Drosophila melanogaster: one gene and its partners. The gene in region 2 interacts genetically with the main gene of each other region. Each region holds a gene or a part of one and is shown on either strand. Other genes may lie near its edges. The genes, in order: Ras64B, sty and Edem2.

Region 1 (3,600 bases), 710 kb from region 2:
GGAGATCGAGCTTATCCTCTATGCAATCCTCCATGATGTCCTTGATCACCGGTGTCCAGCGGGACATCTGGTAGGTGCTTTCTGTGGTGCGCTCCTTGCGCGGCACCGAGTACTGCTTCTTGCGCGAATCTGCAATGACATTGATGCCCAAGCAACTAAGGTTACGCACCATATCCTGATCCTTCGGCGACAGCTGGGCATGCGTAAACAGCTTGGTCAGGTTCTCCTCGGAAATTCCGTTCTTGATCATGACGTACAGGGCAATGATGCGAACCTTGTCGTAGTTCGAGACATTGGCGTCCAGCAAGATGGGCACAATGTTGCGCATATGATCCTTGATCTTTTCGCCCTCGGCGTCCGTGCCCATGGCCAGATCCTGTTCCACGCGGCACAGCTTGTCCACGTAGTTCTGGTACGACTTCATGCAGTCCTCGGCCAAATGCAAGTGGGTGGAGTACTTGGACAGCTCCTTCTGGTACTGCGGCATCTTCTTGATCATCTGCGAGAGATCGCGCATCGACGACTTGTCAGCCGAGCCCATGCGCTTAGAGTCGGTGAATTTCTTAAGGTTCTGAGTCACCTGGGTGGAGACCACAGCGATATGCTCGTGACGCAGCTCCACCCACAAGTCGTCGTTCTCGTCGAGCAGCACCTCCTTATCCGGCTGGTTGGGGCCGGGCGTGTAGCGATACACGTCATTGACGATGGGTAGCAAATCGTAGGCCATGGCCTGCAGGGTGAGCTCGTGCAGCAGCGGCGACACGCAGTCGAAGCCGCGATCCAGGATCAGCAGCTGGGATCGTGCCTTCTCGGGGCCCTCGCCCATGGTGGCATCGTCGGCCTTGTAGGCGTCCAGCTTCTGCTGCACCGACGCGGCCAAATCGATGTTCCTGTCCCAGTCGCTGCGGTAGCGCACATTTGGGTACTCCCCAAGGGTAGCGCACAGTGTGGCTATTTGCTCGGCAATTCGCTCGATGTGCTTGCTCCGAATGGAGGCAAAGGCCGGCGAGTAGAGGCATTGGAATGTGTCCGGCGAGTCCAGCGAGAACACCTGGCATTCGTATGGCAAAAATGCAATGTTGATCTCCTTCAGCGTCTTGATCTTTCCGGCCGCGCACGACTTGCACAGATCGTTGAATAGCTCCTCGGGACAAACTTCGGTGAAGAAGACATGGGCATAGCGATACATGGGCCGCGCTGGGTTCTCGAAGTCTCGTATCAGACCGCGCACTGACTCATCCGACGGCGTAATCAGATAGATCGCGTCCATCGTGGGCAGCGGCTCGCGCTTCTTGTTGATGTCCTCAACCAGGGTGATGCCCTCGGCGCTGATTTCGTGCATCTTGGTGCAGGCGGACACCATGCGCATACCCAGCTTGTCCACCACCAGCACCCGCCATTCCATGCCGCCCGCCCCCGCAGCGGACGTAACGCCCTGCTTTTTGGGTGGTGGAGGCTTGTACTTCACCACCTCGTTCATCAGCTTTTGGCCCACCAGCACTTTCAAGGCCATTTTCACTGCGTTTTATTGGTCACGGGCGCAAAGGCAACTCGATTATGAACACACTGCGTGTAAATATGTCTTTTTAGCTTATTCCGTTCGCTTTTTCGCGTGGGCTAACTTGACTTAAAGAATTTTATCTATTCCTTGGCCAATTTTTCTGTATTTTTTTCGTTTGATGACTTAGCCTTAGTGATGGGCGAAAGTCGATTGCTGGCTAGCGATAGTTGATATCGATATTACTGTCTAGCAGAGACGCGCACCCGTCTCAGTGCGAGTGTGGATTTCTCAGTTAACCGAGAACGGTCACGCTGCTGCTGTCGAGGAAGGAAAATAAAATAATTTTGCTGGCCAACTGGTCGATTTAAACGGGGAAATGCAGATGCAAACGTACAAACTGGTGGTCGTCGGCGGCGGCGGCGTGGGCAAGTCAGCGATAACGATACAGTTCATCCAGGTAAGCCGCCCAGCATCGGCCCAATCCCTGGTGACGTCGCTTTCCACAGGGGCGTTTGAATGTGGGAGTGGGGGGCGATGGCGCACAGGGGCGGTGGCAGGGGGACGGCCCTTGTTTTGGCCAGAGCAACAAACAAGCAACAAGCGACTGTGATGTGCGTCTGTGTTTGGACATGCGTGTGCATAGTTTCGGGCCGAGATCATCACCAACACAATCATCATCATCATCATCATTGGCAGCATCATCATCGCGGTGGCCACACCCCCGTGTGTATCTCCAATTGGGGATCAAGTGGTCAGAGCCCAGAACCAGGGAGTTGCGTTAGACGCAGCCCCCAGTTTTCTGGGTGTGCCGATCGATTCCCCGAGAGTTTGTGCCATGGTCACGACCACAATGACCGCCCGCTTCCATTTATTTTTAGTCATTTGCGTCATCTGCACATCTTTCGTGTATATGCTGTAGCTTTTCCCCAAGATATATAGAGCATAGTGGATAGTGAATGATAAAAGTGACGTGTGTAAACAAATCAAAGGCGGAATGATAAACGCACCCCGCCCACATAAAAAACCCAGTCTTATAATGTTTATATATGTAGTTTTGTGGCCTCGGCAGCTGGCGGTACAATAATTTTAATCCTAATCTTGCAGAGCTACTTCGTCACGGACTACGATCCCACCATTGAAGACTCGTACACGAAGCAGTGCAACATCGACGATGTGCCAGCCAAATTGGACAGTAAGCTTCCTTTCTTTACCCTTACCAGATTCATAATAACCTGATATTTTACCTAGTTTTGGACACGGCTGGCCAGGAGGAGTTCAGTGCCATGCGGGAGCAGTACATGCGCTCCGGCGAGGGATTCCTGCTCGTCTTCGCGCTCAACGATCATTCCAGCTTCGATGAGATCCCCAAGTTCCAGCGCCAGATACTGCGCGTCAAGGATCGCGACGAGTTCCCCATGCTGATGGTGGGTAACAAGTGCGACCTGAAGCACCAGCAGCAGGTGTCCCTGGAGGAGGCGCAGAACACCAGCCGCAACCTGATGATCCCCTACATCGAGTGCAGTGCCAAACTGAGGGTCAACGTCGATCAGGCCTTCCACGAGCTCGTGAGGATCGTGCGCAAGTTCCAGATCGCCGAGCGTCCCTTCATCGAGCAGGATTACAAGAAGAAGGGCAAGAGGAAGTGCTGCCTGATGTAGAAGGAACTAAATGGAAGAGAATCTCCTGAATGCCGCAGCGGAAGCAGGAGCCAACATATAATGATTATAACACCAAATTTTTTGAAAAACACGCGTCGACTGAGCTTTGAATTCCGTTGAGAAGACGATAAACCAGTAACCCGAAACCAGTAACCGCACAAAACGTGTCAACGAGCCCAAACGAAGTGCATTTCTTACCTGCCCAGGTGCATGGCGCATTCAACGAACGAATCGAATAAACTTCGCCACTCTCAAATAGCTACGAAGAATCTTACAACTGACAACTAACAATGCAAAATGCAAACAGAAACACGAAACATAGGTAGATATATACAACAGATTCACACGAATAACTTATATATACATATATATTTCTACATATATTTTTGTAATATTATTTTGTTGATCAACGACAACAATTAAGGACGAATGTTTTCATGA
Region 2 (11,448 bases):
GTAGGCAAGTTCGTGGGGCCCCAGACTTCTCGATCCATTTGAAAAGCGTAGATCGTCAGCCCCGAGGGGCTGAAGATTTGGTTGAGGAGAATCCAAGACCGGCAGCCGAGATTGGAAGAATTGATGTGGCTACCGTTTTATATTTTGTATTTTTCGAGGCCACTCGAAGTTGCAGCTGCGCAGACTCAAAGGCCCTGAAAGATTTGCTTTTTCGAGTCCCCCGCGCGACGGATGTTGCGAATTTTCGTCTTTGACACATATAAAATGTGTGCACATGTATATATTATGCGGTATATATATGGGGTAATTCTCTCTACGGTCAACTAATTTAGTGTTTCCTGCTGACAACAGCATAAACAAGCTGCAAAGAAATCAGAGAATTGTGTCACTAAAATGTTTGCGCTGCCCAAAAAAAAACAAAAAAAAAAGAATAAAGATAGCACACAATCTATGTGTTTGTCCCTCTTCTGGTCGCCGCTCTCCATCAAACATTTTACAAAAAGCCAAATGCTTTTTGAATCTCGTTTTGTTCGCTTTCGATTTGTTGTTTTCGTTCATTCATACAAGCAGCGCTTTTTTCGAAAATAGACGACATCCGGTCTGCACGAAATATATAAATCATATTTTTAGATAAACGCCGATACACTCACACACACACACACACACAGCCAAGCGATCTGCCAGCCAGAAAAAGTTGTACAAAAAATATACAAAATCGAACCGGGGGAAAAAAAAGAGGAATGTAAAATGTTGTTTTCGTAGTCAACTTGTTTGGGGTTTTTCGGCGAGACGAGACGGCCGCATCGTCATCGAATTTTTTCTTAATGCCCAATAAAGAATTCGCTTTCTTTGGCATCGAAATCAGAAAGTATATCACACTATTTTGGTCGTTTTAAATTGTGCTTACAGTTGGAAATTAAATGACTTGATAGGGCTAGAAATCTATTAAATTATTAAATTGGATGTTCACAAGAACTTTTTTTTTCTTTTTATAATTTTGTGTAAAAAAGGATTCCTATAAAAATTGTTTTAAATTTAAAGAATTTTGTAAACATTATGCAAAGACAAAAACAAGTATAGACGTCCCAATAATATTACCCGAATAGAACTTTTAATCTAAACCGATTTATCTCCCTGGAAGACGATTTCCTTTTTTGCCACTTGCATCAACAGGCCCATCAATTTCTCCTCTCATCATTTGGTGCGAGTTTGGTATGGGCCGGGTTGTTTTTTTTTTTCGCCATATTCCTTTGCAACATATATACATATAAGTATATACATACCATATCTATCATAAATATCCCCCACTGGGATGATTTCGTTGCTCTCATAAAAGACGAAAATTGCCGGCTCGCACCGCAGTAGCGCAATGTTGAAAGAAAAAATTGTGTGGAAATGGAAATAAATTAACACATTTAATGAAAATTTCGAAGAGAGCGCGAAAACGCGAAGACGCCGCAACGGAAGACGTGGAACGGGGCGTATGAGTAATCAACGACAGGAAATGGTGACAAATGCTCCCTCTCCCCTCACACATCCCCTCGCCCGTCTTTCTCCTTCTAGGGGGTGTGTAAATGTGCTATGTAGCTATTTGCACCGATAGCAACAGGCCAGCACAACAACAACAACAACATGAAAAGCAAAAAAAAAAAAGAATTTCAATAATTTATTTGGTTTGAATGAAATACGAACGAGGGCAGCGACGTCGACGCCATTGGGGCGCCCACAGGAAACGCGACGTTGGCAACAGTTTCCTGTTTTGTTTTTGTCGAGTGCAAACGGGTTACGACAACAAACATGTTACAATTTGGTTCAATGACTTTGTTAGGCCATCGAGATAGGAGCCCATGCACAGCGAGAAAATCAATGGTCCAAAAGGGACTTTAATTTGACTTCGTTTAAGCTGTGAAAATATTTGATAGAAATTTCACTTTAATAGTCGAAACTTAACAAAAATGGGTTTTAAATTTATGTTAGTTTTAATATATAATTAAATGTAAGCAAAGCATAGATAGGCATTGCAGTGTACAGTGTACCCACCCACGAGTTTATCAGTGGAATTGAGGAAGTGGTCACCGCATATGAAACTTGCGCCAGATGCGCTGATAAGACCCACCCATCCACCAGCCATTTGATTCCCCACCCACACGGCCTATTCTACTTTTTTGGCAAACCTTTTATTTAGCGCTTAACGTGGAGTTATTTTACGGCTTTGGCATATTAAACGAGCTGGTGAAACTTATCAGCGATTCAGACGGCGACATGCGGAAGTCCCACCCCATAAAAGTTCACTGCGGCCATCTGATTATTTCTAATTTGCCGCAACATTACACATACGCCCCGTCGGCCACGTATGCTAAAATCACTTTCACAATTTCACTGACCACCAATTCTTCTCTTTCTTTCGTTTGATTGCAGTTCGTGGACATTGGAATCGTGACTTCCATCGAATCGAATCACAAGCAAATCGAATTCGCGCGCAAGGGTCAAGAGATTTGCGTGAAAATCGATCCGATTCCCGGTGAATCGCCCAAAATGTTTGGTCGCCACTTCGAGGCCGATGATATGCTGATTAGCAAGGTAAGTCCATCTATCGATTTTAAAGAACCCTCCACTTGAGGTTACTCAAAACAATGGGCGGTAGAATAAATTCATTAGAATTCGGGAGCGGAAGAATCAACTTAAAACTCGAGATAGGCTCGAGTCGAGTGCATTATTGTCGGGAAGTGAGGAACCGCACTATCATCGTTTTGGTGGGCATGTGTTTATGAATGGATTAGATATCTGAAGTGGTGCAATTATAAACTCAGCTATATCACTTTTTTTGTGTTTTTACTCGGTTCTTTTGTACGCAGTTTCGATTAAACATATTTAAACCGTAAATTTGCAACGTAGTTATTCGCAGAATCAAACCTTTCAACTTAATTAAATGATTTGAATTACGCATGGATTGCTAGAATAATATTGCATTTTACTCAATTAATTTCGCGAAAGCTTTAGGACTTCCATTATCAATGCGCCGTAATTGAGCGAATGCCGGATGCCATTATTCAGTGCGATTTCGAGTGCAAATCACTTGAGTTCAACGGCAGCGGCAATCGAGCAATCGCAACGGGGAAGTGCCAAAGTTGTCAATTGCACCTGGATTGGGTGGATGGTCCGTTTGTCCGATGGCCAGGTGCAGGCCCACTTCGCCTTCACCGCTTCTCCACCTTACACCTTCAAACCTTCGGACCTTCAGACCTTCGGAGCTCCTCACCTTGGTCACTTCCACTTTGGCCAGCTGGCTTATCAAATTACATGGCCAAGTTGTGTGTTAAGTGTTAAATGGCTACAACAGCAACGAACGCCTCGGATCGATGACTTAACTGGCTTAAGTGGCGTTGAGAGGTCTTTGCAACTTCCTTTCGTTCAATCATTTGATTAACAATTACTTACCAGCTCTGACGTCAAGCGCCCTTGATGAGAGAGAGAGGGTGGTGGCGGAGTGGGGAGTGGGAGCGGGAGTGGCTGAAAACCAAAATCGATAGCTAACTTAATTTTCGATTCATTTTGGTCCCTTATCAGCGGGTGACATCGGTGACGTCAAAACGCCAGGCGGCGCTAATTGCCCATTTAGTTGGCAGCGCGCTTCATTCAATTAATGCGGCGTAAAAACAAAGATGAATAGATGTATTTTTAGGCCTACAAATTGAATTGATATAGTTTGCACTGCCAAAAATCATGTTTGACCATGGATATTTACGCACGAATAGAATCTCAGTTCAATTTTATTGATAGCATTGATGGGAGTGTAATGCAAGCAAAGGCCAAATGAGTAAACCTACATTCCAAATTAAATCTAATTAGGCCATCACATTATTATTTTATCGCTCATCTTATGGGCTTTTCGCAGTGCAGGCTCCATCCAAAGCTATTAGGTTGTACGCCACCACCTCGAATTGACAGACTCCCCGACTATTTATAGACCTCAATAAAGGCTGTGCAAAAGAAGCTGGGAGGAGCCATGAAAGGGTATTATGTCATGGCTGACCTGATGATACGTACTTAAGCATGCAGGGTCGTTCTACGGGGGGAGTGACCCGTTCCAGCTCCCAGATATATGTATCTACGGTATAGCGCTCTATTTGACCCGAGTTGCCGGCTGACGTCATGTTTTACCTTCCACGGTAGTGCACTTGCATAGTTCACTGACCCCCGGAGCATCGTCACCATCGAGCTAACCCAGTTTTCTCGGATGTCGACCCAGTTTCGGTGTGTGTTTCTGCAGCGGCTTCGGTTTTCGCCGTTTGCGGTGTTTTGTGTGTTTTTTTTTTTTCGGCTTTAATTTGTGCACTCGCCGTTTATCAGCTATGACGCATTTGGCGACCCAAAATGGAGCAGAGAGCGGAGAACCCTGCTCCAGTCCCAGCCCCAGCCCAGAAGCTCGTCGAATCTGCCTGAAAATTGGAGCTGAGGTCAACCATACACGACTTTGGTTTCGGCCTTGCGGGCTCGGTCAGAAAACTGTGCAAGGCCTTTGTGGGAGCTAAAAATAGCTGCAATTAGTCGAGATTTGGCTAAGAGGACAGCTAAATGGGGGTTTTCAGTGGAAACTAAGGGGAGTGCAGTTCGTGAAAATGGAAAATCCCTTGCAAGCAGTCAGTAGGTTTTAGTTCTTAAGCTTTATCCGATTGCAGAACTCACATGGGCTATTAAACGAAATCAGCGCGGCAAATAAACTTTAATTTAGGCGGGTCATAGATAAGCAATCGATGTATAATTAAACTCAGTCTCGGTTTTTAACGACTGAATCCTCCGATATCCTTCAACTCTCGGATTGCGGACAAAAGAGTCGCCCATTCTGTCATTTAATATGCATGGCCATAAATGGGGACTCCTTGAGGGGCTTTATGCCCCTTATCGTTTAGAGAAATCTTTTCTACATAAATATATACGGCTCCAATAATCAAAACCATTGATCGAGCCTAATTAATATGCGATGCGCCAAAAATGAACAAAAAAAAAGAGAGAGATGGGAATGGAAATGGAAATGGAAATAATAATTAAGCGGGGGAACATGGCAGACAAAGGACAGAGTGTGTTGTCTTTATCAAGGGCGTGCTGTAATCAGACTTTTGGGGGGCCTGAAAGTGGAACTATTCATGAGGTCTTCAGACTGCTCGCCATAAACGCGAGGCATTAAAAAACGCATTAAAAAGGCGCCATAAAAATTGGCGACACTAAAATAGCTTCGATAAAGCGTTGCCGGGGCATAAACTCAAGCTGAATCGGATACGAAAAAGATGGAAAAAAGTATTGTACAAAATGATTTTAATTGTTATGCGCCATATGTCGGGGACTGTGCGGAGCTGGTGGGGCTGATGGGTCTGATGGGGTGCTGGAGGAGAACTGGAGACCCCGAGCTGAAGACACGTGCCATCCCGTTGTTTGATTGATGGAGCAGTCGCTCTGTCCGCATCTCGAATCTCCCTTTGGAGTTATGACAATTGGCACGTTCCAATTATACATATTCGCTGAACTCACAATGCAAATGATTTATGTGTAGCGCAGCGTGTTATTAATATGCATTTGTAGACACACGGGCCAAAAAAAAATTACAATTTCTCTCTCGGGGTTTGCCTTTTCGAAACTTAATGGATTTTTAATTATTGAAATTTCTCAACTTTTTCATGGCATTTTTTCGAACTCTCCTTGCAGATCTCTCGCCAGAGCATTGATGCCTGCAAGGATTACTTCCGTGACGATCTGATCAAGGCGGATTGGGCGCTGATGGTGGAGCTGAAGAAGCTCTTCGAGATTCTCTAAGCGATTTCGCCTGCCAAAATTGCAAACGTGCAACAGACGAGAGATTTTCGCTGGAAGGAAGCAGAACCCTATCAAACTACAGACTGTGTGCGCTTGTGGTGAATCCTCTATAGTCCCGAACAGAGGATCCTTTCTCTTAAGCTTAGTTTCATTTTTATGGTTTACAGCCGTAGCCGTCGTTGCAGTTGTCGCTTAATGAACTCTGTTATAATGGTTTTAAATCAAATTTTTTGTATAACGCCTTTTGCGAACATCCATTTTGCCTGCGATTTTTGTTAGAGCCAAATTAGAAATAAATGCAATAATGTTGTACAACGGAAAAGTTGTGAAAGAACGGTGGGATGGTGGCAGATTCAACTATGCAGGCTGTGTTAACTGTGTCACTAGTGACGTCACGCCAAAGGATATTGACCCACTTGGCATGCGCAGAGGTCCTTTTTTCCCATTCATAGCCAGTTCGCCGATGCTGCTGCTGCTGCCGCTGTGTCATTGAACGCGACAAGGATGCCGATGAATGGGGGAGATGCTGTTGCGGCTGCTGCTGCTGCTGCAGCCAAAAAACTGGGTCATCCGCCGAGGAGGTTCATTCACCCAGCAGCCGCTGGAAGGACAATTGTGTCGCAGCAACTGCTCTCGGCTGCTGCACCAAAGTGTGTGGCAAGTTACGAGCCGCAGTTTTGTGAATGACGCAAATGCTGCTGTTGCTGCCTGCAGCAAAGTATCCTTCAAACGGTCTGTTGTACTGCCCTCAATGGCCTCAAGTGGCCCAAGTTCCAAGTGTGTTCAGCAGGATGTGCGCCCATGCCATCGTCATCGTCATTCGTCCTCGAGGTAATGTTCTGTCAAGTGCCAGCCATTATACACGGCTCTGCTTGAGCCAGATATTGCTGCCGGGCAGGATTTGCCAAGGAGAAACTGTCGATTAAAATTGGATAAGCGACTTAAGCAGGTCAATTAGAGACCAAGGTAAGCTAAAGAAATAGGAAGTTTAGTTTGAGGTATTTAAAACTGAATTTAGTTGGCTGTGTTTAATGACTTTTCACTGTTTCTGTAATTGAAAGCTAGCTAAAAATTGCATACGCATAATTCCCATTTAAAGTGCCATATCAGATATGTCAGATATTAATTCAAATTTTTATTCACACACCCCTTACCTAAATGGTGTCTCTAAACTGTCAAAATGACCGGACGCGTTGTCCAAAAAATAAAATAATAAAGATACAAGCTGCTGGCTCGTAAAAAGTGCAATAAAGTTTAAAGCACCCAATGTACGTAGAAGTGCAGCGGTATTAAGTGGTTCGCAAAAGTTCCATTTGCAAGTGCTTTAGTATCGCATTACGTTATTTCTGGCACGTAATTCCGTCTTAAATGGCGTGAGGTGCAGTAAAATTTCCAAAGGAAATTGTATTTTCCCTGCCAAACTGAATGCCCATCGAGCGTGTACGATTCATTGAGGGAAAAATAAAGATTGCATATAGAAAATCACATAAACATCCTTGGCTGGCTACGTGTCTCCTCGGTTCATTCATTGATTTTCTTGGCCAACTTTTGCCTTGGCCAAAACGCACACACACACACACGCACATGCGCGAAGCTGGGGAAAATCCAAGAATGGCATTCCCCGTCCAGCGTGGTTCACTGGGTGGGAAAACAGTCACCACCCCCACCGCCAAGAGAGTGCGAGAGCGAGAGCCAGGATTTTCATTCACAAGGCGCACTAATGGCCAACATGGATGGCATCCACACCGAAAGGGCTGTGGAACTAGGGCACGACTTTAGCGGCTGTGGTAGGTAAGTGTCGCCACCCACCAGCCACCAGCCACCACCCATCGTGCATCCTGTATCCTTCATCCTTTCGTGCTGCTGCTGTCGCGGCGGGATTGCCGATGTTGCCGTTCGTGTTGCTGCTGTTTTTTTTGTGGGCGGCATTTGACTCATTGAGGAAAACGAACCGCATGGCGAAGGACTCGATGGCCACTTGAGTGTCCTTGCCTCGGCATTTGGTGGGATGAATGAAAAGGTGAAATAAAAGTCAAATGGAAATTAACAGGATTTTAAAATGGATTTTATAACTACTGACAGGCTGAAAGAACATTTACCAAAGCATTGAGTGCATAAACATGTTTGGTTGTTTAACTGTTATAACCAAGCTTATCTGAGTTAAGAAGATTTGAAGCTCGCTTTCTAAAAACTGCTTAATTCATATTCAATTCATATTTTGGTTTTTCCCTCGCTACTGGCTGCTGCTAAGAAAAATCGTGTTTCGTGTTCTTCCGAAAATTCAGAATTAAAACTCCGAATAATTGACAGAACCCATCGATTATCGGACGGAAGTGGTATTGGGAACGGATCTGCTTAGAGAAAAACAGCGACCACGCCAATCGCTGATTTCCAAATAAATATTTTGCACGTGCGTCTCGCTGCCACTTGTGCTGTGAGTGTGATTTTTATTTTTATTCTTTTGGCTGTCTGAAATTGCCCTCGAGTTCATGTTTAGACATTCACCTCGAGGCCAATGTGTTACCTCTGCCACTGCGGCGATTATCTAGGACACTTGTGACGTCAGGCGGGAAAACTGTTGGACTGGGGTGGCGTATTCATTGCGGATTGAATGCACGAAAAGCCATCAGAGCCAAACACCCAGACATCAACTTGGCCAACTTTCATACGGATTTCTCATTGAGCATTTTCGTTCAATGAAATTTCATTTATTTTTATTCTGTCCGTTCGCATTCACACTCATTTATTCGAATTTGTTTGCCCAAAAATGTTTCGGCCAATATACATACGTATATATAATTGAATGGCAGACCACTTTTTGTTGTCGAGTTTGATCTGATCGAATGATTCACATTTCGGTTGGCATTTCAATTTAGGGTCCAAACAATGGCAGATGTCCAGTTGTCCAACTCCGCAGCAAAGCAAATGAAATTCTTTCGGGGATACCCTTATCTTAAAAGGTTATTTTGTTTCTTTATGTTCTTGGGAAGTATTTAAAATATATTATTATTTAATGCTATTCAAAAAGTATCTTACTCAACTTACTCATCCTAAAATAACATTTTCCTAGCGCTCAAGAAAGTAATCCACATTCGTTTTTGAATCCAATTTAGCTCACTCAGCTTTCTTGTTAGACTTTAGCTTTTTATTGTTCTTTATTCTGATGTTCCTTATACATATACAATATATACGTATACAAATATATATGTAGAGTTATTGTGATGCGTACCGCCCATATGTGGAGCTCGGCGAAGTGGCTGCTTTCCGCCAAATTTGGTGCCGCATTCGACCGGATGTCGTTGGAAATAATATTGAAATCTTTATTATTTTCACTGATTAATTTATGGGGCAGTAAACGAAATGAGCTTTGAGTGTGCTGTTCGATTTTAATTTGGGAGCGGTGCACAGGGTGCTGGCTAATTTTCAAATAAGCCCGCCTTAAGGAGGCAGGGCAACCCTGGCCGAACAGCTGATGGACAACGGATGACCTTGGGGGTAATTGCAACAACCCCCAAGTGGAAATTCACTGCCATGGCCAATGTCGAGGCGACGCCTACCGAAGGTCGTTGCCAAGGCAACTGAGTGGGCCAGAGCCCAGCTCATTGGGCCAGGAAATGCAGGCGTGTGTGAGTGGGCGCCCATTGAAAGTGGCGATGCATTCAAAATGGCCGTCAAACGGACGACCTTGAAAGCCGAGTGCTCATTGGCCGGGCCACCGAGGCCAGGATGTTGGGTGGCGGGTGGCTGGTGGGTTGGTAGGCAATTGGAGGGGGCTGGATGGCCATGCAAATGGAGGGAACTGGGAGCCAGGAGCTGGGAACAGGAGCAACCAGCAGCCAGGAGCCAGGATTAGTCCTGCAGCAATAGCCGAAATCGGAAAACAATACGAATGTCGCACGAAGCCCACGCAATGTCGTTTCGTGTTTCGGATTTTGGGACCTTCGGCCCAACGAATGGGTATTCCCCTCCAGGACGAGATCCTATCGGCAATCTTCGGGTGAGGCTGCAGCTCCGATGCAAAAGTCGTGCAACATTGGCTCAGTCACTGGACGATAGTCAGGCTGCATTCAACGTGCAATCTCCGAGAACTTGTGCTTGCAAAATTATTTACCAAATATATATACCCGATATATATACAGTTGTATGTTCAAAGACACAACGCAATTAGCGATTAATAGATGCGCACACGGCGTATGCGTAATTTAAGTGAATCCAAGTAAAAGTGCGCGTGTTTTTAAATAATTAACAATTTTAAATAGTAAACTATCCCATTGAAAAAAAAAACATAATCATACATAGCGTAAGCCTCTTTAACTTTATTACAAATTAATCGTGCTATTAATCAATTAACCAAGGCATCTCGTTGAGTACAGTTGCCACCAGAAAAACAAAACAACTCAATCAACCCCAAAAACCAGAACGAACAAAGGCGAGCTGTACCGAGCCAAAAAAAATCTCTAATCAAATTATCCGCATTATCTGCAATCGAGTCGACCAAGCCGAGGAAAACTTTCAACCAGAACCCATCCATCAAGCAACTTCCCTTCACCGGTGAGTAGCTTCATTGTCCCTTGTCCATCTCTATCAATATATGAACCTTCGCAGTCGAAGAACACTTAAATGTCTCAAGTCATTCATATTGTCAATTGGAACTTTGGATCTTGACTTTTTGTTCTTCTCTTGAGAGCTAAAAGTCACCCAAAGGTTAAGTGACCAGTGCTCATCAGTTGGAAAGGCATTAAAAGTCATTTATATGCCAGTGATTTTTATGCAAGAGATCTTATCGAAGATTTGTCAAGGATATTATAAATGTATTATAAAATGTTCATCCATTTGAATCTTAAATATCTGAGTAAATACGCGGTTGTATAGTTTGTAGAAATTGGGAATTAAATTTCTGGAAAAGTTGAAAAGTCTATCCTAGCCAATATTTTAAAAAAACAAGATCAACTCGATAAAAATAAATTCGTGACATTGTTTCTTTTAGTCAAACAATGATGAACAATTTCCCTACAATATCTTTGAGCTTTGAGTAATGGAATAACATTTAATCGATAGTATGATAGGTCTTAATTTTATAAATTTGTCATCTGTACCCTTTTTCCCTACCTAAAAATCAAATCTTATGCCTGAGCCTTAGAGCTTAGGCATTCTGGAATGCCATAAATCATTTTCACTGCCCCAAATGGGGGGAAAGGCGGAATCGGCGAGGATGAGTGGGGCGAAGTGGCTGGAAGAAGGCTCTTAAGTTAATTTAGTACTTTGTTCGCTGTGCCAGATCATTAAAATTATTTGGCGACTTTGAAAAATTCGAAACAGTAGCCCACAAATACCGACAGCTGAACGAATCTCGAAATGAAATTGGTTTGGCTGATGAGGATGGAGATCGTGTTTTCGTTCGCCGGCTACCCGCTGCGTTTGTCTGCAGATGTCTCATAAACATGAAGACCAACCAGTCCCTACCCTCCGAATATATATCTTTTTTCGAAATTTGTATAATCTGTATGCGAATCATAATGACGCGAAATCAAGATCGGACTGAAGGCTGAAAGCTGAGACACACTTTGGCCTTTTATGCCAGCTCACATGGAGGCTGAGGCTCAGCAAGAATTTTAAAAACTTAACCCATTTTGCAAACAT
Region 3 (11,448 bases), on a different chromosome or scaffold from region 2:
TGGATGCTGTCAATTGGTGAGGACTATCACGCAGTATGCATAAATTCAATGACGTAACCTACAACTTTCGTTATTTAGCGAATGGCCGCATGTCATATACACAACTATAGCGGATTCGCGTTACTTCGTTATGGCATGGCAGCAGGAACTGGTGATGGGCAAGTCGCGCTCGGGCATTTGCAAATATTCACTGACGCCCACGCTGGATACGCTGGCCTCCATACGGGAGTTTAAGCAGTTGCGCCACGAGCTGCGTCACATTGAGTGCCTTTCAGAGGATCGCCTTATCGGCTACGGCCAGATGCGCATCACCGTCTGGGATCATCGCAGCGGCGATACTCTGATGAACTACGACTTGGGCCGGCCGCTGGGCCGTTGCCTGGCTGCTACGCACTATCCTAGCCTCGACTTGGACCAAAGCAGCATGCTGGTGCTTTATCAGCTGCTTAAAGAACCAAACAAACCGTCTGAGGTGCATGTGATCGCCTGTGAGCTTTCCCATGCCACGCCCTCGCACCGCCTGCTGCAGGTCCACCGCTTACCATCGCCGCAATTCGACGATGCCACGGAGGGCGTTAACACCGGTGATCATCTGATCATCAAGTCAGCATCGAACGACGAAGCCTGGATAAGTGCCGCCGATCCGAGACAGCTAACCTATTTGGCGCCGCAAATCAATGGAGCTCAGCGTTTTTATGCCCGCCACAAGTCCCAAGTGATCGAGATGTCCCCGCAATCCCTAACTGTAGATAGTATCGCCAATCACATGTTGAAATTGGCTGTCCAGCAGACCCAATCGGCGTAGACCTGTGTCGCGGAACTAGAAATGTGGAGAGTCTCGGCCTTGAACAAAGTTTTTGTTTTTTTTTTTCACACAAACCCATGTTTGAATATCACCCAGAATACCCGATCTATAAATGTGCTTTTGGCTGTCTGCCCAAGTATAGTTCAAATATAGGAAACTATAATAAGTTGCGTGTTAAGCCCTGTAGTCCTAACAATCATTTTAGTCGTAAGTAAGTCGGAGAGTAGTAGCCTTTATTATGCGCTATTTTGAAATAAGTGTTTTTGTTTCTTTCGTTCTTTTTATTTTTTCTAAAAGAAAAACAAAACTAGCTTAAGCTATCGTAGTTTTAGGCATATGAATTCAACTGTTTGATTTGCTACTATCGACTGAAGTAGTAAATTTGTCATATTTTTAAGATTAATGGAAACACCAAAATGGAAAGAAATTAATGTCATTAAAACGGAAATCTATTAAAAATACAACGTTTTTGTTTGCATCAATTGCATCTAGTCGATTCACAGATATGTTGTCATCCACAATAATTTGGTTTATAATACTCGATCACGGATTTCGAGACTGCCTTTGGACTCGCATCCTAACGAAGTTGGTTTTTTACTTCAGTTGAATCTTGATTATATGGATGAGCCGGTCACCGAGATCTTCGTGTATTGGAGTACAAGGGAAGGTTAATCCTATAAGATCTCAGGGGTAAAATCATAGCTGGCTCTTGAGTATTAATGATAAAACGAAAATGCCTTTGGTTTTTAATTATAGTTCGTATATTTTAAACTAATTTTGTATAATATCTAATCAATTTCAACTACTCTGTTGTCGATCAATTCCGACTGTCTACCCTATAAACTAACTTCTTAAAACTAATCATTATTTACGATTTTGTTAGTCTCTAAGTTCTAAGTTTTTATATACAGAAGTTTTACTTACATCAAAAAAGTAAAATCCATCGAAAAAATTGTGAGGTGGACCAAATATACAATTAGAATGAACGCGAATGCGATGCTATTCGGTTATAATATAGCCACTAGGAAGCCAATTGCCTGCCTGAGAACCAACCACGAAATGCAAAGATCCCTAAACTGAGTTCCATAACTCGTGGCATTAAATCGCTCTTACATGTCTAGTAAAGTACAGGAAATTCCAATTTAGTTACGTTCGCTTACTGTACACACGTTACGAATATAGAGAATATACATATCTCTATTTTGGCGAGAACCATTTCAAGGCTGTATCAAGCCCCAAAAGAAGAGTAAACGCTGAGGGTGCTCCGGCAGCCGTAGCAGTCCACTACAATTCTTTTTCCGGTTTCTGTGCTACCGACGCTGTTTGGTTCTGGCGCTGCTCCTTGGCCAGTTGCCACCGCTTAAACTCCACCATCTGCATGACGCGAACACGCAGAGGTTGTTTCCGTCGCTGCATGACCGCCGACAGTTTGCCGAACTCCATGCTGTACATGAATACGACTGGAATGAGCACGTCGTCCTTGCCGTCGCCAGACATTGCGAACATCGGCTGCGTCTCACCGGAAGAGCCCGGAACATTATCACAGACAATCAGCGCCGCCGCCCCCACCTTCTGGGCCAGTCGCGCTTTGCTAACGAACGTGCAATCGCCGCGCTCGGCCACCAGGACCTTTCCTTTCGCCTCCTCGGCGTTCTCTAGGCTCTCATCGCATGCTCGTAGCGGCTTGGCCAGAATCACGTCCCCTTCGACGAACTGATCGCCAGTTAACTCTGGGCTAAAGTGCGACGGCCCGGCCATCAGTGCGATCCAATCCTGTGAGTTCTCGTCAGTGGCGTAGGCAACGGCCTATAAACGAGAAAACCATTTCAAATATCATTATGATGATTTCCATTTAAAATGTATAAAGCATGCAAACCTGCAGTTGCGCTAGCTGATTTATGCTTTGCATCTTGGTCAGCTCAAGCATCTCCTGCATAAATTGCAGTCCCATTTCGCCCTCCTCGTGACTTTTGGCCTGAATAAAGTCGAATTTATATTATTATATTTTTTCTACGATCTGTGTGCTGATGATGATGAGAAGGAAGAGTAGGAAGCGAAAGATCGAGGAGGAACTGGTGGCACAATGGTTACCAACCAGAGTGTCAAACTAAATGCAAACGAAACCAAAAAGCAGAACAGAAAAAAACTTACATTATAGAAACTATGAAACAGTCGCACCTTGCCTTGGCTGCGGTCGCCTACCGAAACCATGGTAATGCCCATGTCGTAAACAGCTCGAAGATGATCTGCATTGCTTGCCTGAAAATCCAGGGCGCTGAGTCGCTTTCCCGCTGTGGTGCGAGGGCACGAGCCCGTAATGAAGTTGCGCAGTGGTTTGCGTACTTTTTCAGGAAAAAGCCTATTTGAACTGGGGCAGGTGCGCATGAAGTCGAGTACGTTGTGTTCGTCCGTCTGGCGAAAGCCTGTAAAAGAATGGAAAACATGAATAGTAGTTCTTTCAAATGGCCAACTAGACTATCAGTACGTTAAAGACAAAAGAAATTGTTGCAAATAAGCAATTGAAACCTTTCCAGACCTATAGATGGAATTACTGATAGCGTTGCGGCGATTACGTAAAACAATTTACAAGTACTTACTAAACGTGGCATTCCCTAGTTGGGCAATAGAGAGCGGTAGCAGATGAGCCTCGGTCGTGAAGACGAACTCATCGACGTTTATGATCAGATCCTGGGGATCGGAGAACAGTAGGAAGAGGTACTTGATCGTCTCGGAGAGCACAAACGAGTCCATGCGATCCTCATGCTTGCCAGTCCGTACATCATTGACGGCCGCATAGCCGCAAGATACCTTAGCATGCTGCTGGAGTGTTTTCAGAGCCTTCTTGCCAACCTGCAGATAATGATGATCGCCAGTGGCGCGGTACAGGAAGTAAGTGGACTCTATAAATTCTGGTCGCAGGGGATGCTGTCCCCAATGGATCTGGAAGTCGACGGTAAATGCTTCTGGAATGAAGGTGTGCATCTGCATGACCTGGAAATATGTTTAAATATATTTGTAAATCAAATCACATTCATTGGTGGCTTTGGAAAGGATGTTACATACCTGATAGAGCATCTCGTGTGTCTGCACAGCTGGTTTCAGATCGCCCGATAGCACCTGCAAGCCCGGCCAAAATGCCAGAAGCGAGTCCATGAAGTTTTTGGACTTAGCATGTGGCCTGTGCATGAGCACGTCGAGTAGCATGGGTCCTTCGCTGACGTACTTCATCACTGCGTTGTAGTGGCGATTAAAGCGTGCCAGGTACTTGTCGTCACCCAGTAGGACGTACGACTTGAACAGGTACTCATAGTAACTGTCGATGCCAGCTCCGACTCCAGAATCGCGACGCACCCAATCGCCCGAATGGACATTAAGTACCGTGCCCATGAGATCGGAGCCACGGTGCCTTAGCTTCCACAGTGCATCCATGGCGGCGTGAGCTCGCACCTCGAAAATGGGATCGCCGGTGAGACGCGACAGAGCAGCAAATTCCAGAAGGATGGTACCAGCACACGCCGTACACGTTTCACGGGACTTCTTGAGCATCGGGTCCTTCATGCCCAGGCGGAGATTAACCCGCGCATGCGGAATGCCCGTGGATGTGTTGAACGCCGGTAGCAAACGGTAGCCCAGCTCGCGAGACATCTCCAGCAGTTCGCCCTTGTACCAATGCATCGTGTCCGCATGCTTTTGCAGATACTCCGCCAGGATGTGCGCCGACAGCAAGCCACCGACCATTCGAATGTTCGTCTCAAACACCGACACAATAATGTCGCTGTCGAATTGAACGTCGCGGATAACTAGCTTCACCGCGTGATCAAACTCTGTGAAATCGCCCAGGAGCACCAGAGTGTCCAGAGTATCCACCAGAGTCATGGAGAAACTAAAAATAAGAACAATGTTAGTAATCCCTCCAAACCTTAGGTTTTTGAACTCACTTTCCAAGGATGTCGTCCATGTCGCCACGTGATGGCGTCACTCCTCGGTACCGTCCTTTGCAGGAGAGCGGCATAAGCTCATCAGCTGGATAGGCGTTCTGCATGTAGGCGTTGTATGCATGATAGAACATATCGCGAGCCTCTTCCCTGAAAGCAAATGGAACATATTGTATACTTGAATTTACTTTCTACATATGTGATTGTTCAGAACAACTTTTAAGCTTAAGCGTTTTAATATGACTTAATATGAAAGTCATGGATATATAATTCGTTTTTATAAGCATCACATTTAAATGTATATCCATAAATGATTAAAAACGAGTTATGCTAATTTGACCTCGTCGTTTCTGACGCATATATGGGTTACATTTAAACAAATTGCATAGATCCCTCGTAAAACCAGAGTACATTAAAATATTAATAGTGTTTCTGAAACTTTCTTAGTTTGGTAAATAAATAAAAATAAGACGTACAGAAGTTGCCCTGGTCAGGAAATACAAGGAAACGAGAAGCTGAGACTTACCGGAGTTCCGCCCGCTCCTTATTGGACATGTTCTGCGTGGGCATGGTGGTTTCGGTGCTAAGGACGCAGGCAACTACGATGCACATGGCCACCAGGAAGATGAGCATAAGCCGCTGGCCGCGGACAAAGGATTCGGAGGATGTGGTAGACATGGTGCTGGCTATCTGGAGACTACCGATGGCGGCGGCGGTGGCGTTGGAGGTTGTGCTGGTGACGGCGGATGGCTTTGTCTTTCGGCCGCCAGACTTGCCGCTCGAGTCGTTGTGACGTTGACCTTCACTTTGAACGTGTGGTGTTGAAACCAATGTTTCGATGTCTCTCTGTCCCGCTTCTTTGTTGACTCCGCTTTGGGCCCGTGGTCCGCTTGAATTGGCTCTGCAGCCTAATTGAAACAGCCAACTCATAATTAGCTTATAACTTAACAAGTAATTTTGTTCGACTGAAATTAGGCTTACCTGTGCCCGAAATGTCGACCTAATTTGTTGTTGTTTTTTTCCCGGTTTGCACGGGCACTAGAAGATCGGGTCTCTGTGGATAAAACTGGAGCGCGCTGCTTCTACGGCATCTGCAATTGCACATTCATCCTCCCAACGACCGCGACAACTGCGACACACATCGTGACTATTTATAATCTCGTTTGGAATATGTTTTCTGCTCCAATAACAAAACACCACGACGGCAAAGCGAGCGTCAGAATCGTAAGGTTACTGCGGCCAGCCGATCGGCGGGGCATTACGGCTCTCTATTATATATCCAGCTGAGTCTGTTTTTATAGTTATCCGAGCTGCTGTGCTGGCAATTATCAGATCGCTGCTTATCAACGATGAACTCAAGATTCCTTAATTTTATCACGAAAAAAAAGTGATTGCACCCTCAGTGTGACCAGCTGTGCAGCGGGCGGAAGAGAGTGGCCCTCCGCCATTAAGCTATTGTTATAAGCTAATCTTTAAAATTATTTTATTTATGCTCTATATTAGTTGAATAAGTTCATTATTCTTTTCCATTTTATAGAATAACGATAATATAAATATATTAAATTTTATCATTGCACAGCACTGGCTTTTGGTATATTTCAAACGCCTTTTCCGACTACCTTCTAATGCGTATGAGTATACTTCAACGGTTCTTTTACGGCCACACTGTAAGCCAGACGAAAAAAGACGCGAAAAGATGCAGATAATATAAACAACGGTGAGATAATAATTAAACAATATGTCATAAAAGACATATTTATTGAGTGACTAGCTTATTGGGGTAAAAAACATAGATGTTTCTTTCTATGTAGCCCAGTGAAAAGTTCAAACTTTCGACAGATGCGAGTGTGTGCGTAGCTGAAACGGCTGCTTCAGGCACAAAGGGTGAAAAAAATGCGAAACCAGAAGTTTCGGTGGCTTCATAATTACCTGGAATGAGATACTCCCGTTATTTCTCGATTTACATCCGAATCCGAGCCGCGAATCGTTGCCCTTGGCAACATCTTAAGCTGCAGCACCTTGCACATTACATGCATATGTATGTACATATGTGCTCACACACGCACACACTCACTTGAGATGAGTTTTTCCAAGGTAAAAAGGAGGCGAAAAGCGATGAATGAATTATGAGAGTGGGCGGAGCGGCGAGTAAATCTTCAATTTGGTGAACGATTCCACTTGCGGGGCAGCAGGGAATCTCGGCTAATTGGCCGTTTTACTGTCAGCCCGACTCATTAGCGGCTTTTCACATGTCACCAGGTGTTGCAAGTGTGTGCGTGTGTGCGTGTGTCTGTGTGTATGTATCGCATGTACATTATGTACCCGCACTGTATACCCAGTTAAACGGTTGTTTTGAGCTCGGATTCCATGACAGATTATGCAACCCACTCTATCTCCGTCTCTTTCGGTCTGCTCCGATTCTTTGGCTTAACGAAATTGACATTTAAATTAATGGAAAAATATACAGCTAACTGGCATATCAGCTGATTAGTCTAATTTATTGGTAGCACCACACCAATTTGGCAACTACTTTCTCGCTCTGCGAGGCAAACGTACATATGTACATACATAATTTAATTATTGTCTTAGATTCGTGGCACTTTTTTTTAGCCATATTTCTGCATGTGTATTTCGTGTTTTTTTACGTCTGTATGCTGGGCTATTTCTGTATCGGTTTTTCGTTATTTTTGTTGTTTGCATTTGTTTTGGCCAGATTTCTGCTGGTGTGTTGAATATTCGCCATCAACAGTCATATTTACTTAGCGATTCAAGCTCTTTGGGAACTGAGATTAAATGGAATACCCCTGCGACCATCCATCTTGATCACTTTTCGCAAAGTGCCGGCTTATCAGTTTTATGGGCTCATTGCTCTTATCAGCTTTGGCCCAACAGCTGGCCACCAACCGTTGTCAATATCAACAAATAGAAAAGCTTTACGCCTTCCATATTCTATATATGTGTAAATATATTCTACGTGGCATCGGGGGTCAGTCACTCGAGACATGGGCTGTATTATACAATGAATTATTTTATAGTTCTCGCGTCTTTTTATCCGAAAGCCATTGAGTAATAATCTTGGCAACTGAAGTATACCATATATTGTACGTAATTGCTTTGTTGGTGCAGGTTGTGGTTGCTGGGCGGCATTTCATTCGATATTTCTGTTTATAAACAAATGCAATCGGCGGCATTAAGGAAAATTTAAATATATGCTAACTTATAATGGCCACTTGCTGATTCACAGCGTTGCGGACTACGTTTGTTTTCCTCACCATTTATCTCAATAAAACTTGACGAGTACTTTAAGATCTCAAAAACCTTAGATTTAAAGCAATATAAAATAATTGAGCAATTTATAGCTAGATTTAATCTTTATTTGTATCAAAAACAATTACATGTTCACCTAAAGTATTCGCTTAATCTACAGACTTTTTTGTTAAGTGTTTCTATTAAAACTTCTACATTATAATAACTTTTTAGTTCCTTGCATGCCTTAAAGTTCTTAATCTTCATTGCGTGCGAATGGAAATCTGTCGTTGGAGAAGTGGGAACTTGTCCACATCCAGACAGACACTATTATAATGCATTATTAAAAGAAGAATACTACAAAAGTTCCACCTCTTTACGGTTCCAAACATTTCTGTGCGTCGCCATTTGGACGCGCAACTGGACGTCGCGTCCTCCGCCTCCTTTAGACCACCGTTTTATTTATGTTATTTACCTAACTTATTGATTTTGTCCGTTGCCCAATCCCACTTTTCCCTTCTCCCGCTGAAATGAGAGTTGCGACACATATTTTTTGGGCTCCCGAAGGGTAAAGGCGAAAATCAATAATGACCAAAAACCTGAATTGGTTTAATTTAGTGTCCAGACATCCAAAAACTTCGAGATGGCTTGTACCGTTGTACGAAAAATATAAAGTGAACATAGTTGATTATAACACAATATAAAATTAATATATTTAGCAATAAATAATATTCTGAAAACCCTCTTATCTTACAGGTGTACTATGCGACCGTACAAATATTTGAGATTACATACTGAAAAATGGAAGCAATATCGAAGATTTCCTTGATATTGTGTGCCTTGTTTGTCGGGCTCAAGGCCGCAGCGGCCATCAGTGGTGACAGCACCCACTGTCTGGCCACATACAGCAGTGCCGAGGCGTACCTGGCCCAAATCCCGCAGCAACATCGTCCACAGATCAGGCCCAGGATAAGGACCTGGCAGGAGCACGAGTTCTCACTGCTGGGCTACAAGTTCCACCTACCGTTTGTGGGCCATGCCGTCGACTCGGATCTAGATGATAGTGACAGTGATGAGGGTCTGTGGCTGGATGCGGCGGACGCCGGATCAGAGAGCGTAGAGGTGGAGGAGCATGAACTTCCTTCGGTCGGTCACGTCGATCCCACGGGCAATGTTTTTAAGCTTAACTGCGAGCATGTGGACCTGAGGCGAGTTAACCAGGAACTGCTCTCCCAGCGAAGCTCGCACATTAATTACAACCAGCTGATGCTGGCCCATGTACCTGCGGATCGCAGTAATCCCCTGAAGCTGCCACAGCTTGAAAGTCTGAGGGAATTCAGCTGGCAGAGTAGTGAACTTAAAGATGAAACGCTCATGGAGCTCTTCACCCGCCAGCCGCGCTCCTTTGAGTATATGGAACGGCTCAATCTCGCCGAGAATCGCCTGGAGTGCCTTCATTGGGCAATTCCGCTGGCCGTGCGGCGCGTGAAAGTACTTGAAATGAGCGGTAATCGACTGAGCAATTGCAGCCTGCTAAACCTGCAGTACATGAAGCAATTGCAGGAGCTGCACTTGGACAGAAGCGAACTGACCTACTTACCGCAGCGCTTCCTGGGCGAGCTGAGCGAATTGCGCATGCTGAATCTCAGCCAAAATTTGTTGACTGAGCTTCCACGAGACATATTTGTTGGAGCCCTGAAGCTTGAGCGCCTCTATCTATCCGGAAACCGGCTGAGCGTTCTGCCATTTATGCTCTTCCAAACGGCAGCCGATCTTCAAGTGCTGGACCTCAGCGACAACCGCCTGCTATCGTTTCCGGACAACTTCTTTGCCCGCAACGGCCAGCTGCGTCAGCTGCACCTGCAGCGAAATCAGCTTAAGTCCATCGGCAAGCATAGTCTGTACAGTCTGCGCGAGCTGCGTCAGTTGGACCTTAGCCAAAATTCTCTGTCCGTCATCGATCGAAAGGCGTTCGAGTCTCTGGATCACCTGCTCGCCCTGAACGTGTCCGGCAACAACCTGACCCTGCTGTCATCCATCATCTTCCAGTCGCTGCATGCCCTCAGGCAGTTGGATCTCAGCCGTAATCAGTTCAAGCAGCTGCCCAGTGGCCTGTTTCAGAGACAGCGCTCCCTGGTGCTGCTGCGCATTGATGAGACGCCAATAGAGCAGTTCTCCAACTGGATATCGCGCTATGACGAGTCCCTTGTGGATCCGCAAGTGCTTCATCGTTTGCGTTACCTTTCCGTGCAGCAGAATCGAAAACTAACGTATTTACCCGCCACCTTGTTCGCCAATACTCCGAATATAAGGGAGCTGCTGCTGGCCGAGAACGGATTGCTGCAGCTGCCCACGCAGATCTCAGGGCTGTCACGATTGCAGCGACTCAGTGTGCGAGGAAATAGCTTGGGATCGCTGCCCGAAAATATCAAAGAGCTCAGACAGCTGCACTACCTTAATATATTGGGCAACGAGTATCAGTGCGACTGCAGCATGTATTGGCTGACTGCCTGGCTGGCGAATACCAGCACAAGCCTACGCCACCAGATGCCCCAGGCACAGAACCATAGCAATGGCAGTACCAATCAGACTCCACTGGACTCGTACGAGAGTATCGATCATCAAATCGATGCGCTCAAGTGTCAGTATGGTTATCGCGGCGATATGCTCCGCGTGCTAAGCAAACTCAACTGCTCGGTGCCCACGGTGGTGCAGTTCTCCGAGCCAAAGATGCACAAGCTTCTCTCCACCGCCAAGCTGGAGTGCCAGATTTCGGGGAGCCCAGTGCCGGATATCATCTGGGTGAGTATAACATCCTTGTATTGTACTCATATTTTGAGTTTATCGTGTTCGTTTAGGAGTAACTTAATGTTAAAAGAATATGTTCATATAGCATTGCATATTATTATATATTTAAATATCCCATGATATCGGAACTTATTATGCCCTTTTAATAGTTAATCCTTTAGCTTTCCTAGAGGTGACTAAATGTATTTTTCTTCCATGAACTTATTATGAGGCACAGAGTTAATCGTTTACCCCTCATCAGGTGACACCGCGCAATAAGATTTTACGCCACCATGCTGATCCTGACAAGCGCCCGATCATCATCGACAGCAAGGAGGATGCTCACCAGCCACCGAGTGCCCAGGAGCTAGCTGCTCTGATGGACGAGAGCTACATTCAGTCGTTGAACTGGACACGTCAGAATAGTCTAGTGGGTCGTCGAGTGGTGCTGGTGGAGAACGGATCGCTGCTGGTGCACAATATTTCGAGAATCGACAGTGGCCTCTACACTTGTTATGCCTTCAATGTGATGGGCAAAGCCTCTGCAGGATTACGGTGAGAATAATGGCGACTATTATGTTTAAATACTTCTTCAAAGGGTTTTTTTTTTCCTTTTCTCGCAGACTGTACATCGATCCCATTGTGTTCTACCGAGTTAAAATCGGTAGCATTCTG

Evidence for each region.
Region 1: of sty (region 2) and Ras64B, changing one suppresses a phenotype caused by changing the other (phenotypic suppression), as found in Drosophila melanogaster (one study listed by BioGRID).
Region 3: of sty (region 2) and Edem2, changing one suppresses a phenotype caused by changing the other (phenotypic suppression), as found in Drosophila melanogaster (one study listed by BioGRID).

Annotation. Positions count from the first base shown.
Region 1 is NT_037436.4:4,137,302-4,140,901, forward strand, and holds the start of Ras64B (Ras oncogene at 64B), read left to right. Parts: upstream 1-1,774; 5' UTR 1,775-1,877; coding exon 1,878-1,958; intron 1,959-2,605; coding exon 2,606-2,693; intron 2,694-2,749; coding exon 2,750-3,159; 3' UTR 3,160-3,600. Other genes in the region: Rop (Ras opposite), read right to left, coding at 1-1,513. UniProt on the Drosophila melanogaster protein: May be involved in endocytic processes and/or other transport pathways mediated by vesicle trafficking. May interact functionally with ROP protein. Ras proteins bind GDP/GTP and possess intrinsic GTPase activity.
Region 2 is NT_037436.4:3,423,336-3,434,783, reverse strand, and holds the start of sty (sprouty), read left to right. Parts: upstream 1-9,848; 5' UTR 9,849-10,359; intron 10,360-11,448. Other genes in the region: eIF5B (eukaryotic translation initiation factor 5B), read left to right, coding at 2,419-2,580, 5,701-5,808. UniProt on the Drosophila melanogaster protein: Inhibitor of tracheal branching that restricts branch budding by antagonizing the BNL-FGF pathway (BNL: branchless, an fgf inducer of branching).
Region 3 is NT_033779.5:13,186,913-13,198,360, reverse strand, and holds Edem2 (ER degradation enhancer, mannosidase alpha-like 2), read right to left. Parts: upstream 6,161-11,448; 5' UTR 5,722-6,160; intron 5,649-5,721; 5' UTR 5,419-5,648; coding exon 5,267-5,418; intron 4,891-5,266; coding exon 4,744-4,890; intron 4,689-4,743; coding exon 3,869-4,688; intron 3,797-3,868; coding exon 3,403-3,796; intron 3,229-3,402; coding exon 2,957-3,228; intron 2,781-2,956; coding exon 2,682-2,780; intron 2,612-2,681; coding exon 2,090-2,611; 3' UTR 1,080-2,089; downstream 1-1,079. Other genes in the region: CG16972 (uncharacterized protein), read left to right, coding at 1-16, 79-805; CG16974 (uncharacterized protein), read left to right, coding at 8,788-10,788, 11,036-11,328, 11,397-11,448.